3 linked regions of the Callithrix jacchus genome follow. The protein of the gene in region 1 interacts with the protein of each later gene in a biochemical or structural test. Links are inferred from orthologs where the notes say so. Each region holds a gene or a part of one and is shown in the gene's direction. Other genes may lie near its edges.

The links.
Region 2: of the proteins of WWP1 (region 1) and WBP2, one has a biochemical effect on the other in vitro, tested with the Homo sapiens proteins (2 studies listed by BioGRID, with this or other methods). The link is inferred for Callithrix jacchus from reciprocal best matches to the Homo sapiens genes WWP1 and WBP2.
Region 3: of the proteins of WWP1 (region 1) and KLF5, one has a biochemical effect on the other in vitro, tested with the Homo sapiens proteins (4 studies listed by BioGRID, with this or other methods). The link is inferred for Callithrix jacchus from reciprocal best matches to the Homo sapiens genes WWP1 and KLF5.

What each region holds. Positions count from the first base shown.
Region 1 is NC_133517.1:40,734,685-40,739,213, reverse strand, and holds the start of WWP1 (NEDD4-like E3 ubiquitin-protein ligase WWP1), read left to right. Parts: upstream 1-1,678; 5' UTR 1,679-1,847; intron 1,848-4,529. UniProt on the Homo sapiens protein: E3 ubiquitin-protein ligase which accepts ubiquitin from an E2 ubiquitin-conjugating enzyme in the form of a thioester and then directly transfers the ubiquitin to targeted substrates.
Region 2 is NC_133506.1:131,750,506-131,754,983, reverse strand, and holds the start of WBP2 (WW domain-binding protein 2), read left to right. Parts: upstream 1-1,381; 5' UTR 1,382-1,421; coding exon 1,422-1,480; exon of another isoform or gene 1,481-1,595; intron 1,596-4,089; coding exon 4,090-4,198; intron 4,199-4,478. UniProt on the Homo sapiens protein: Acts as a transcriptional coactivator of estrogen and progesterone receptors (ESR1 and PGR) upon hormone activation. In presence of estrogen, binds to ESR1-responsive promoters. Synergizes with YAP1 to enhance PGR activity.
Region 3 is NC_133502.1:42,208,084-42,212,588, reverse strand, and holds the start of KLF5 (Krueppel-like factor 5), read left to right. Parts: upstream 1-1,355; 5' UTR 1,356-1,667; coding exon 1,668-1,928; intron 1,929-4,188; coding exon 4,189-4,505. UniProt on the Homo sapiens protein: Transcription factor that binds to GC box promoter elements. Activates the transcription of these genes.

The sequences.
Region 1 (4,529 bases):
TCTTTGTCAGGAGAGCTCCAAAAAGCCAATGAACGATTTTAAGCAGTGGAGTGACACAGATGGGTATTTCAGAATGATCTTTGTGGTTATAATGTGCACCAAATTCAAGTGTGAAGCCAGAGGGCAAGAACTAATGCATAGTAGGCAGGAATGTGGATTGTTCAGTCAAGAGATTTATCGAATCCTATACACACTCATGGAGTGTTGGCACTGTTTTTGGCACTCAGTTCTTTCAATAAACTCAGTTAAAATGGAAGGACCGAGAGAACTAGAGGTTTAAAAATCAAGGGAAAATTTAGGACCTAGTTTTAAAACGTGATTATGCTGAGTAGTTGTAGGCAGTGGAGAGGGCGAAGTTAAAGATGTGCCAAGGAGGCCAGGTGCGGTGGCTCACACCTGTAATCCCAGAACTTTTGGAGGTCGAGGCGGGTGGGTCACGAGGTCAAGAGATGGAGACCATTCTGGTCAACATGGTGAAACCCCGTCTTACTAAAAATACAAAAATTAGATAGGCGTGGTGGTGCAAACCTGTAGTCCCACCTACTTGGGAGGCTGAGGAAGAATAATTGCTTGAACCTAGGAGGCAGAGGTTGCAGTGAGCGGAGATCGCTCCACTGCACTTCAGCCTGGTGACGGAGTGAAACTCTGTCAAAAAAAAAAAAAAAAGTGCCAAAGGACTGCTCTCAGTGGAGAGCAGGCAGTGGTGTGGGCAGGGACATCTAGCCTCCCAGACAGAAGGAAAACAAGTGTGGACGTAGGGATAATCTATGGGGGAGTTGATTGGGGAAAAATTGTAGAAATCCATGCCTGAAGGCTTCTGCTTCTCTGAAGTAGAAAACCGGATCATCTGTTAAGTAATGCGGTTCCACTGACTTCTATTTGCACATTAGCCTTTCTTCTAAAAGCTACACATAACCAACAGCACTTCCTAAACCAGTTGACTTTTCTGTATAATGGAGACAGTAGACGCTACTTTATGGGATTGCTGTATGGGTTAATTGTGCCAACACGTGTACTTGCTCAGGAAGTATTAGCTTTATCACTGGGCTGATGTGAGTGAGGGCAGGGGAATGAAGGTTTTGATTAATAAATAATGGACTGCAAGTCTTCGGGTATGACCATGGATAAATGCAGTTATTTACTCTTGCAATGGGTTCTAAGTCAAACCCTCAGCTAGGTCAGGGAGTAGTTATGAACAGCCTACTTTTGCCCCAGGACCTTAAGAAGTCTTGCTCTGGGATCGGCCGCCTACCGGAAAGTCGTGTTCTCAGTGCCCAGCGCGGTCTTAGAACAGCCTCTTCCCAAATCTCAGCGGCGGCCCCGCCCCTTCCACAGGTTCAGGCCCCGCCCCTCCCTGCTATTGGCTGTCCCTCCCATTTGCTCGACCGCTCTCAGGACCCGGAGGAGCGGAGTTTTCTAAGGCAGCCTCCGAGCGCCCTCGCTGCGCATGCTCGGGGGAGGCCGATTCCGGGTCCGGAGTTGGAGGCTTTGGGCTGTCGCGGCGTCGCGCGCGGTGCCGGGGCCGGCGGGGAGGCGCGCGCTCGGGGCGCGGCGCCGGCGACGCTGCCACGCAGCGCGCTCCCGAGGAAGGGAGGTGTGGGGTCGCCTGGGGGTGGCGCGTGGCCGGGGTGGGGGTGGGGGGAGGGTCGGGTGTCGGCGAGCTCGGCGTGCGGGTTCCGAGTGTCTGAGGCGGCCTGGGCTGCCGGGGCCGACGCCTGGGTGGCTGCCGCCGCCGCGCCTGCTAAGAGATGGCGATCTTGGGCGCGGAAGGGTGAGGGCGCCCGCCGCAGGAGGAGGTGTCCCTGCCGTGGCCGCCCGGCTGCCGGGAGCCGACAGCTTCGCGCCGGGTAAGGACTGCGCGGCGCGGGGCTGGGGGCGCAGGACTGGGGAGGCGGGCGGGGAGGGAGGGGGCGCGGGCCCCGAGCCTTGGCCGCGGTGCCCGGCACCCGGCGCCGTCCGCCTGCGGGCGGGACCCTCCAAGGGGCAGTGAGAGGACGGTCCACCCTGCCTTGTCTGCCTTCTCCGCCTTCTCCAGCTCGGGAGCCGGGAGTTTTCTGGGGTGGGGTCACGGGTCTTGCCCAGAGTTGGCCCTGGCACAGGCCTGTGCCAGTGATCCTGAGCGGAGCTAAATGTTTCCGTGACTCTGCAGCCGCGGTTCTTCCTCAGCCTTCTCTTCGGTTTCCTTCACCTTTTCCTACCTCACTCAGAACACAAATATAGGGACTCATTGCCCGTGCCCTGAGTTTTCACCCCAATTTCAATGTTGCAAACCAAGGACTCCAGCCTTGGAATGCCTTTTTCTGACGTGTTTTTGTCACTCCCGGTTCTTCACCGACTCTGCAGCTCCCCTCCCTGCCCCCCCAGCGCAACCCCCACCTCTACCTTTTGTGACCTGGTAGGTCCCGGTGACCTTGCAGATTTTACCAGTCCTTTTTACCAGTCCTTATCTTGTCTGTGACTTACACACTTACCTTTCATCTTCGTTTTCTTTTATAAAATTTTTCATTTTCTTGTTTGCCCCTTACCTTTACGACCTTTAAATGATCAGTCTTGTTCACAGTCTTCTCTGCTCTGTGGATTTGGAGTTTTCTTTGCTCTGGTAATTATATGAAACCTTCATTACCAAAGAAGAGTAGCATCTGTTATAATTTTGACATTCACTCTTCCAGTAAAATATTTTCCAGGGGCTTTTGCTTTCTTTTTCTATTTGAAAAGTTTAACAGTTTTGGTTTTTTTTTTGTATGTAGGTTAATGTGGAACAAGATTTTGTGTTTCTGCTTTAAAATGTTACTGGTAATAGTAATGGGGAAAAAAATAATATCCACAGTTGTCTTTGTTTTCTCCGTTTGGTGATTTTGCCAGAAATACATGGGTTTACAGTTATCTGCAGGTTTTATTTATTTATTTTTTTACAAGAGTTCATGTGTATGTGTAAATCCTGCCTCACCAAATCTGTGTGTATTATGCAAGCAAAGAAAGTCGTTCTTGTATTGTGTGACTTGTTTTTAGCTATCAAGTTGGAAATTAGCTGCGACTAGAAATGATCATCTTTCATAAATAGTTAATATTTTAAAAATGGAAAGTATAATGGCCAAGTGTTTGGATCTACTCAGATTGAAAATTGTAAAGTATGTGAAATAGTTCTTTGGGACCTAGCTTATTAACATTTTCAGATAGTTCTTACCTTAAAATGCAAAACTGCTGGTAAGACCTATGACATCAGGATTTTCAAAAGCAATAATTACTAGTTATGTTTTTTGGAAGTCGGCCTAATAGAGAATGTCACAGATAAAGTCTCTGCCTTCAAAGAGATAGTAATCTTTGCTGTTTACCCCATGGTGGCTGAAATTTCCTTTACTTCCTTGTACAGATGTTAGGCATTTACTGCATAATTGTGGGGGATATTTTGGGGAATACAAAAATGAACTGATTAGCAGTTTCTGCTTTTACACTAATTAGGTAGATAGTGCTATAAACAAATGCCCTATTTGTCTTTTAATATATACGTTTCGTAAACAGTACCAAAATCCTCTCAGAAGTCAACTTCAAAGAGAGTAGAGCTCAGATCTTACTTGGCAAGGTAGGGATAAGAGGGTTAGTTCGTAGAGCTTCTGGCTTCTGAAATCGTGGTTTTGAAGGATCACTATGACTTTGGATAGGCAGGAAAGGTAATCCAAGCAGAGAGGGATCTCTAAGAGAGCACAGAGTTCCTGTTTGGGGAGAGGCAAGTAATTATGTTTGGGTGGAACATAGTGTTATTTGTATTTGGATAAAGGGTGATAAAACATGAAGTAGAAATTTGGAACAGTTTATGGGTTGTTTTTAATGCCAGGCTTATGAACCTTGGATTTACTAGGTGGTGGGGCTTCCACAGATGATTTTGAATTGGGAGTAAAACAATTTGAACACTTTGTTTCAGAGGGATTAGTGGGATAGCAGCCTGTAGTGTGAGTTGAGGTAGGGAGCGTGTGGAGGTAGAAAGACCTCCCAAGTGTTGTAGTCTGAGGTGTGGTGCACGCGAATGGAAAGGAAGAAAGGAAGTAGAATAGCCAAAATTTGATGAGAGGGCAAATGAAGAAAGTAAAAGTAACAGATTCTGATCCAGGTTGGTTGGGAGAACGTGGTACCATTTTGAGCAAAATCATGAAGCTTTACCCTCAGCATATGTGTGCTACTTTACAACCTTTTGGGGATTACTACTTCTTGGTGAAACTTAAGAAATCTGCTGGCCTGGAAAACTTCCATATGTACCTGTGCTTTGTGGCTACAGTTTTAGGAGAGTCCGTGGACCATCTGAAGGTCATCCATGGCACCCATCTCAGAATTACTTGGAGCTTTTTTTTTTTCCTGAGGTAGAATTTCTTTCACTCCTTCCAGGCTCATTGCAACTCCCACCTTCCAGGCTCAAGAGATTCTCCTGCCTCAGTCTCTCGAGTAGCTGCAAACACAGGCACTTCCCACCACACTTGGCTAATTTTTGTATTTTTTTGTAGAGACGGGGTGTCACTACGTTGCTCAGGCTGGTTTTG
Region 2 (4,478 bases), on another chromosome or scaffold:
TATTCATATTTATACAGCATTCTGTATACTATATTTATTCAGCATTCTGTGTTAATAACCTTTGACAATCTTTCCATATCAGGACACAGTCTGACTTCATTCTTTTTAAAGACTGCAGAGATTGCAGGCGCCAAAATACATCTAATCATTGGGGTAGGTCTCAGTATCACCATCCTTAATCCACTGTACTTGTCCTGCAAGGTCCAACCTAGTCTTGCAAGGGACCTCGCAGAAGGCTGCTGTTTCCTGATCTTTTCTAGTGAGGCAGTTTTGTTCCTTCACATAGGGAGACCTCCCTGGAAAGCGAAGTCAAGCAGGTGGATCGCGAGGTTGGCCCCAGCGGGTCAGGAAAGCAACTGTCTGCTGAAAAGCCAACTCTGATCCTTAAGATTAACGAGTAGCGGAACCACCACGTTGGGAGTGCAGCCCCCTCTTTCCGCCTCACGGATTCAGCTTGGAAGTGCGGGGGTTTGTGGGGGGCGGTTAGGGAATGATAGCTGCCCCGTGGAGGATGCCCAGGGCTGGGTCACGAGCTGGCATGAGTCAGCCCTATTCTGTAAGTCCTAGTTATGAGGCTGCCGGTCTCGCGCCGTGCCCAGTCCCACTCAGCCTTCAATCTTCCGGCCGGGCCCCCGCTGGGCGCCCTTGAGGGAACCGCGCCACCGCAAGGGCGGCGCGGAGGCTGCAAGGGGCGCCCGGCCGGCTCGTGAACGTGGTGGAATCCAGACGGGGCGCACCGATCTCCCCTCCCGTCGCGGGACTCTCCCTGCCCCCGGGCTCTGGGCTGGGATTGGTGAGACGGATGACGGGGTGATCGGACGCCGCCAGCCACCGCGTCCCCAAGAGCCGGGGCCTCGGGCTCAGCTAAAGGCCCCAGAGTCACACAAGCGCCCCATAAACGTCTGCTGAGTGAACGAAGGCGCCCCATCTATCAGAGGACTGCTCGGCGATCCCACAGCATGTCCAGGTCGCACTCGGCCGGCTAAACCTCCCGGACGCGGGAGCAGACCCCCAGGATTGCGCCCCTGCCAGAAGGCTGTTTACTTAGGTTCCGCTAAGGAGGCGGGGTGGGGATGGCACAAGCCGATTGGTTATGCAAATTATGGAGCCAATTCCGGTCTATGGTCCAGGAGACTACAAGTTCCAGAATAAATCCTTCCTCCAGCATAGGGAGAGGTCGAGGTTTCCGGAGAGTTGCCTGCTGGGAATTGTAGTCTTCATCTTGTTTGTTACGCAGGCGGAACGGGGGAAGGGAGAGGGAGTAAACTATTACCACGTGACGCTCGGGTCAGGTGGTTGGGCCAGCCTCCGCGCTGGAGCTGTGATTGGCTGACTCTAATAACAAGACGCCACTAGGGGCGGGCCTAAGACGAGCGCAAGCGCACTGCCTTGTGAGTCTCGGGACCCCTGTCGGAGAGACTATGGCGCTCAACAAGAATCACTCGGAGGGCGGTGGAGTGATCGTCAACAACACCGAAAGGTGAAAACACTGCGGAAGGATCCTGGAGGACCAAAGTTCCGGTGTCGAGGAAGTGGGCGGCGGGCGGCGGGCGGCGGGGAATAAGCCCCTGAAGAGGGAGCGCTGATGGAGTGAGGTTGGAGGGGAACGGCTGGGGGCGGGGTTGAAGGAAGGTGGGTGGGCCGTGGGGGGAGGGCCGGGAGATTGCTGTCAGCTGGGAATTGGGGGTGGGACGACCGGTGGGGCCTAGGGTGATTCTTGAAACCCCTTCCCAGAGTTGTGAGTTTAGTAGCTGGGAGGATCCCCAAACAAAAATAATTGTCATTTATTGAACGTCTACAACGTTACTACGTGTCAGACTCTGCGCCTTTTCTACCTTGTTTAATAAAAATTCTGTGCGGTACAATCTACTACTGTCCACATTTCACAGGTAGGTAAAGTGGGGCACAGAAAGGTTAAGTAACTTGCCCGAAATCACAACTCTGTAAGTAACAGAGATGGCAATTCCAGGAAAGGAGTCTTGACTCCAAAGTTAATAGGATTAACTACCATCATACAGGCTTCCAGTATGTTCCAGAACCGATCAGGTTCCAGGTAAGAAACTGAGGCCCCAGAGGTGAAATTAAACAGGTGACGTTGATCAGATGTCTGACAGTTCCTGGCACTGTGTGGGTCCGTAAAGTCAGTCCCTTGCCTCTTCTCTTGAATGCCTGTTGGTTTGAGTCACCCCTGAAGGCAGAGGTCTCCTAATTCAAGGTTCTTTCTACTCCGCCCTCCCCACCCCTTGCTCATTGCATTCTGTCTCTCCTCCAACCTCTGGGCTCCTCAAATGGCTTCTCTCTCCTTTTGTTCCTTGAGTATTGAAAATCAGACCGTTCTGTGATTCCATGGATAGAAAAGGAAAAAAAAAAGTAAAGAAAATCAAACCAGCCTGGGTTGAACTATGCCAACCCTGAAATACCTCTTGAAGGAGCTTAGGAGGCATCTGCATCCCCAAAGGGGACATCAGAGCCCTGTACCCAGCTAAGGCCAGCATCCAGGTGCCCTGTGAGTTGGGAATGTTTGATGAGTCAGAGGAAAATGCCTAGAGTGACCCAGACCACAGGATGCTCACTTTCCGTCCATTTTACCTGCTCAGAGTGTGATGGGCGCAGCCTGTTTCTGGTAATTCCTTCTTTTCTCTGAGAGGTACTTCTCTTTTTTTTAATACCAGTGGTTTCCCACTTACCCTTCCCCTATCAGAGAAAGTTGTGATATGTGGGGGGAGGCAGAAGACAAACAGAACTGTGTGAATCTTTTTATCCTGTAATCAGAGACACCTCACATTGGCTTGTTGCATCTCTGTGTGAGTCAGTTCCCAGGCCCAGCCAGTTTTTCATACCATTTGGCAACATCTCTAGGGACTGTTGTTCTTTCTGTCTCTGTGGAACTTTCTGAGACAAGACTATCCATCTTGCTGGGCCTTCTACCTGGCTTAGAGCTCAGTCTTGCTAAATAAGGCGTGCCTTGTTTTAGAAAGTGCTTCAGCCTCCTGTCTGAATAAGTTGTATCTATAACAATTGAAGTTTAAATCCAGCATTCAAATTTTGATAATTAGGCCCAGCATGGTGGCTCACACCTGTAATCCCATCACTTTGGGAGGCCAAGACAGGTGGATCACCTGAGGTCAGGAGTTTAAGACCAGCATGACCAACATGGTGAAACCCTGTTTCTATTAAATACAAAAAAGTTGGCCAGGCATGGTGCTGCATGCCTGTAATCCCAGCTACTTGGGAGGTGGAGGCAGGAAGATCTCTTGAACCCAGGAGGTGGAGGTTGCAGTGAGCTGAGATCGTGCCACTGCACTCCAGCCTGGGCGACAAGAGTGAAACTCCATCTCAAAATTAAAAAATTGATAAATAGTGAACTTTATTCTTCAAGTCGTGAACTCCTTTGAGAATGATGAAAACTGAACTCTCCTCCCAGAAAATGCACATGTGACGTACACGATCATCTCAAGGGCTTCATGGACAGACTTTCCGGCAGAACCAGCTAAAAACCCAGGTTTAAATGAACCCTGAAGGTGGTCCTATTGTGATGTGTACAGTTATCTCTTAGACGTGTTTATATATTAGGCTTGAAAAGCAAGCCAATAAAAACAACATCCATCACAAGGACTTAAAAGAAAATAGAAGAGTTAAGCCAGCTCTTCTAACCTGCTTAGGGGATGATGGCCTCTCCAGAGCCCTGCGGCTCTGCTACAATGGTGATCGTTTGGGGCTGTGCAAGCAGGCTTTGGGAAATTTTATAGAACCCCAACCTGCTCATTTCTTCCATGGCTAGAGTAATGGGTTTTTTTGTTTGTTTGTTTTTAGTTTTTGTTTTTTTGTAGAGATGGGGTCTCACCATGTTAGCCAGTCTGGCCTCAAACTCCTGGGCTCAGGCGATCCACCCGCCTCAGGTTCCTGAAGTGCTGGGATTACAGGTGTGAGCCCCTGTGCCTGGCCCTGTGATTGGTTTTAATGCAGCACTGTTGAGATGGTTACGAGAGCTGATGTGCTGGACAGCTGCTTGGGAGAAAGGCCCAGTGTCTGGGTGATACCACATCTCCATACTGTCTGACCAAGGCTTTTCCTCTTTTCTCACCACAGCATCCTGATGTCCTATGATCATGTGGAACTCACATTCAATGACATGAAGAACGTGCCAGAAGCCTTCAAAGGGACCAAGAAAGGCACCGTCTACCTTACCCCTTACCGGGTGAGTTACACAGCAGGGCAACTGCTTTAGAGGCTTGTTGCTGCTGTTGGAGGTAATGTGAGTCTTTGTTTCTTTCTTTTTTTTTGAGATGGAGTCTCGCTCTGCCACCCAGGCTGGAGTTCAGTGGCATCATCTCGGTTCACTGCAACCTCCACCTCCTGGGTTCATGCGATTCTCCTGCCTCAGCCTCCCAAGTAGGTGGGATTACAGGCATGCACCAGCCTGCCCTGCTAATTTTTGTATTTTTAGTAGAGATGGGTTTCGCCATGTTAACCAGGCT
Region 3 (4,505 bases), on another chromosome or scaffold:
CTTTGAAGTGAATGTTTTTTCAAATACTTTTGTTTTTTCAACAAGCTGTTTTACTCTGAAGTGATGAGTCGGCTGTTGTATATGTAAAACTGTCTAATGGTATACTGTGCTGTCAACATCTGTACATTTGTAGTAATATTACAGGCATTTTTATTGCAGTTTATTGTTCCGGACTCCCAATAAGCCAGATAAAATCATGTACAAGAACATTAAGGATTAAGGGAAGTGGTTTCCTTAGGTGATTGCTGGCAAAAATTCACCCTCCCATTATAACAACATAGTAAATGGATGGTAATATATTTGGCTATTACTTTCCAACAAATTTGGATTCCTAGTTTTCAGAGCTGCTCTGTGTCTATGTTTGTGGCTTTTTGGTTGTCTCTTCGCAGGAAAAGGTGCCACAATATGAAGTAAATGTGCGAGGTTTCTGTTTTGTAAATATTAAAGTCCATTTTTTGAACATACAGTGCTAGTAAAAATAAGTCAAAGATGTAATGTCTATTTAAATACACATTTGAGCTAGTCATGCTTAAATTAGATTCCATGCTTCGGCTAGAATCAACATAATTAAATATTAGAAACTTCAAAATTCATATGGCCCAAGCTCTCCTCTCCACACACAGATAGAAGGTAGCAATGTGTGGGGAAAACGTCTAGCAATTAAAATCCTAAAAGAAGGGGGAAAACGCAGGCTTTTATGCAAGGACTTGAAAAAACGCTTGCCATCGAATCTTTTATTCAGGCATTCTGAATTTGCTTTGTTAAATGGATACACTCACTGCTAAAGATACAGAGAGACAAGAGCTGTTTTAAATTTGTTTATCACACCGCCCCTAGTTTTCTGCTAAAGAGAAGTACATTTTGGATATTTAAAAGTACACACTCATCAGACAAGTCTCTAAAAGCCTCAGCGCCCCCACCTAGCTGCCTTCTGGGTTTCAGCTTTTGAGTTTCAGGTCCTTGCACAACACCTAAGACGTGCAATACTCTTTCTCCCTAATCCTGGCAGAGAACAGTGCGAAGAGATCTCCCTCCGCGTCTCCACCCAAATTCCCCCTCTTCCCAGATTCCACCCGCTCCGCTACTTCCCTCCGCCCCCGGCTCCGCCAGCCCAATCTGTCAGAGAAGTTGTGTACAAACTGCGCGGCGGCCCTGCGCGCGAAGCTCGTGGCCGGAGAGGGGTGCGGTCGGGCCGGTGGAGGCGGGGCCCCGGCTGCCTCTCTCCCTTTCATAGGCTGGTCGCTTCTGCCTGGCCGGCCTCGGAGCCTCAGGATTCGTGGCGGCACTGCCAATCAGGCGAGCGGGCCCCGCCCTCCTGGAGTTGGGTGAAATAGAGGCGGGCGTCAAGTGTCAGTAGTCGCGGGGCAGGTACGCACGCTTGTAGCTCTGTAGGCGGTGGCGGGAGCGGGCTCCGGAGAGCTTGAGAGCGCGGTGGGGCGGGGCGGGAGAAAGTGACCGCCCGGAGGACGTTGGGGTTTACGTGTGGCAGCGGAAGAGTTTTGCTTTTGGTGCGCGCCTTCGAAAACTGCCTGCCGCTGACTGAGGGGTCCGCCCGAAACCTCCCCTCCTCCGCCCGCAGTCCAGCGCCGAGCTCGCTGGCCTGAGCCAGCGTGGGCGAGGTGGGAAGTGCGCCCGACCCGCGCCCGGAGCCGCGCCCCCGAGTGCCCATGGCTACGCGGGTGCTGAGCATGAGCGCCCGCCTGGGACCCGTGCCCCAGCCGCCGGCGCCACAGGACGAGCCCGTGTTCGCGCAGCTCAAGCCAGTGCTGGGCGCCGCGAACCCGGCCCGCGACGCGGCGCTCTTCCCCGGCGAGGAGCTGAAGCACCCACACCACCGCCCGCCGGCGCAGCCCGCGCCCCCACAGGCCCCACAGCCGGCCCAGCAGCCCGCAGCCGGTCCGCGGCTGCCTCCCGAGGAGCTGGTCCAGGTAGGAAGAGCCGCTCCCCTCCCAGCGCTGCACTCCCGGGCTCGGGCGTGTCCCGCCGCTGCGACGGGCAGGCGACAGGGGCCGCTCCAAGCTGGGGCGTGCGTCGGGGCGCACCGGAGCCGGTGCTGGGGAGGCAGACACCCCCCACCCCCCCCCCCCGCCTGGCCGGGGCCCCGCGTTTCGCGGAGATTAAATGGGAGTCCGGGCCAGGGAGAATATGCCCCGGCGGGTCGTCCTGGGAGAGATCAAAGGGAGGAGAACTGGGTGCTCACGCGCACCTTAGTTGTTTTTCTTATACTTGAGGGATGAAACCTTGTACCTTACGCTCAGTTTTACTTAAATTACGCCTTCGACTTTACCGCTCTCCAATGCCAAGGAATTGGAGCACCCCCCCACACACACCCCCATCGTCTCGGGTTAAGTAGAAACGCAAATTGGGGTGCTGTGGAGAGGTTCCCCAAGGTTTCATACCCTGTGGCTAAACCTGCTTTTAGAAGAGATTGCGGGCCGCGTTTGGAAAATGAGGGGGAAATGAGGGGAAAGCTAAGGTGTTGGAGCGCTTATTTTTCCTTAAAAAAAATACCGGGGAGTTGTTTTCTTCGTGTGCGCGTAAATTTCCTCCCGGGGCCGCGTTGAAAGCTGGCAGTTGGCTTTTACACTTGCCTAGCAGCCGAATTAGAGCCACCGCCTGTTTCTTTCGCCCACGCAGGGAGTCATATAGCCCAGAAAAAACTTCCCAGGACTTTTAGCCTGTCCCAAGGAAAAAAAAATTGGAAACATACCCACATGCAAACAGCTGGAAGAGCTAAAATCAGAAACCACTAACCGCCGCGGGAGCGCAGTGCACGAAAGGGTTTAGTTCAGTTTATTTCAAGACACTTCATTTAGTAGCCCTTTGGCGTATCGTGTATTTGCTACCCAGCGCCTACTCAGTGGGGTCTGCCAGGGTCCTGCTGTGAGGGGGCAGTGGCGTTCGTCAGAGATGTGACTCACATGATGAGAGCGTTAATTTTTATTTTTAAATGGTGTCTATCCGGGAAACCCCGTCCGTATCCACACCAAGGTCCGAGATTAAACGCTCTTGAAATGAAGTAGTAACAGAAAATGACTGTCTTATTTACCGATTAAGGTGCCACAGCTAATAGTTCTTCTATGCGCCGTTCCATCTAGTTGGTTTTCGTATCTTTTGAAATTTCCTTTTCAGTGTTAAAAAATGTAAGTTTAAGTTATACTAGGAGAGAAGATAGCTGGAAAAGGGTTGAGATGACTTGTTACAAGCTGCTTCATAGCCTAGAAAAGAGATCTCTGTTTGAAAAGTATTTGGTTATTTCTGTTTGTGTCAATTTTCTGCTCTGGAGGCACTAAGAAGATAAGGGATGACTGAGCTTTTTACAGAGTAGGGGGGAATGTAGCGTTGGCCCACTGAGGAGGACATGATAAATGTTTTGCTGATGACTGTGCTAGGGATACAGCAGCCTCCCCACCCACTAGCAGCACTCTACCAAGGGAGTGATTTTCCCCTAGGTAATTAAAGATCTGTTTTAGATAGGGATATGAATAGGAACATTTCATTGTCATATTAACCAATTACAGGATCTGCTGATTAAAATCAACATTTAGATCAAATACTGAATGTGAAATTGTTTTGTCTCAGTGGATACAAGGTTTTGCTTAGAATATTGTATTTAATTTCCCATTGAACTGTAAACAAGAAAAGACTGAAATAGCCAAATAATTTTTTTTTAGTATTTGATACTTTGGAAGTATCTAGCCAAGCAAAGAAACCTTTGCAATAATTTAAAGATTTGCACTTTCTCTTTTTTAAGAAAAACTTTTTAATGTTTATGACTTAAACAGAATTGAAGCAGTTTGGCAACGTTTCAATACTGTACTGTACTCTAATTGCAAACTTAACTGTGTAATGGGGCAGGGAATCCTGCTTGTACAGGGGTGATACCTTGTTATTGCATCAGAAAGGAATGTTTTCAGTTTGCTTTCTTTTTTTTCTTGATTTGCGTCTTTCACTTCTGAGGTGATTGAGGGAGCAGTTTTACCAGTTACACAGAGTTTCATAAGGTTTTGGTCAACCAATTATATTACATAATTGATTAAATAAGCCTGATATGTTTTTAAGCAACACGGAGAAGTTTGCCCTAATACCTCACACAGGGATTGGGAGAATTTTAATAGGCGCCGATTGTCCTTCCTGAGACTGTGCATCAGGTGGATTATGCATGTTTGTATCTCTTCTCTTTTTTAGACAAGATGTGAAATGGAGAAGTATCTGACACCTCAGCTTCCTCCAGTTCCTATAATTCCAGAGCATAAAAAGTATAGACGAGACAGTGCCTCAGTCGTAGACCAGTTCTTCACTGACACTGAAGGGTTACCTTACAGTATCAACATGAACGTGTTCCTCCCTGACATCACTCACCTGAGAACTGGCCTCTACAAATCCCAGAGACCCTGCGTCACACACATCAAGACAGAACCTGTTGCCATTTTCAGCCACCAGAGTGAAACGACTGCCCCTCCTCCGGCCCCAACCCAGGCCCTCCCTGAGTTCACCAGTATATT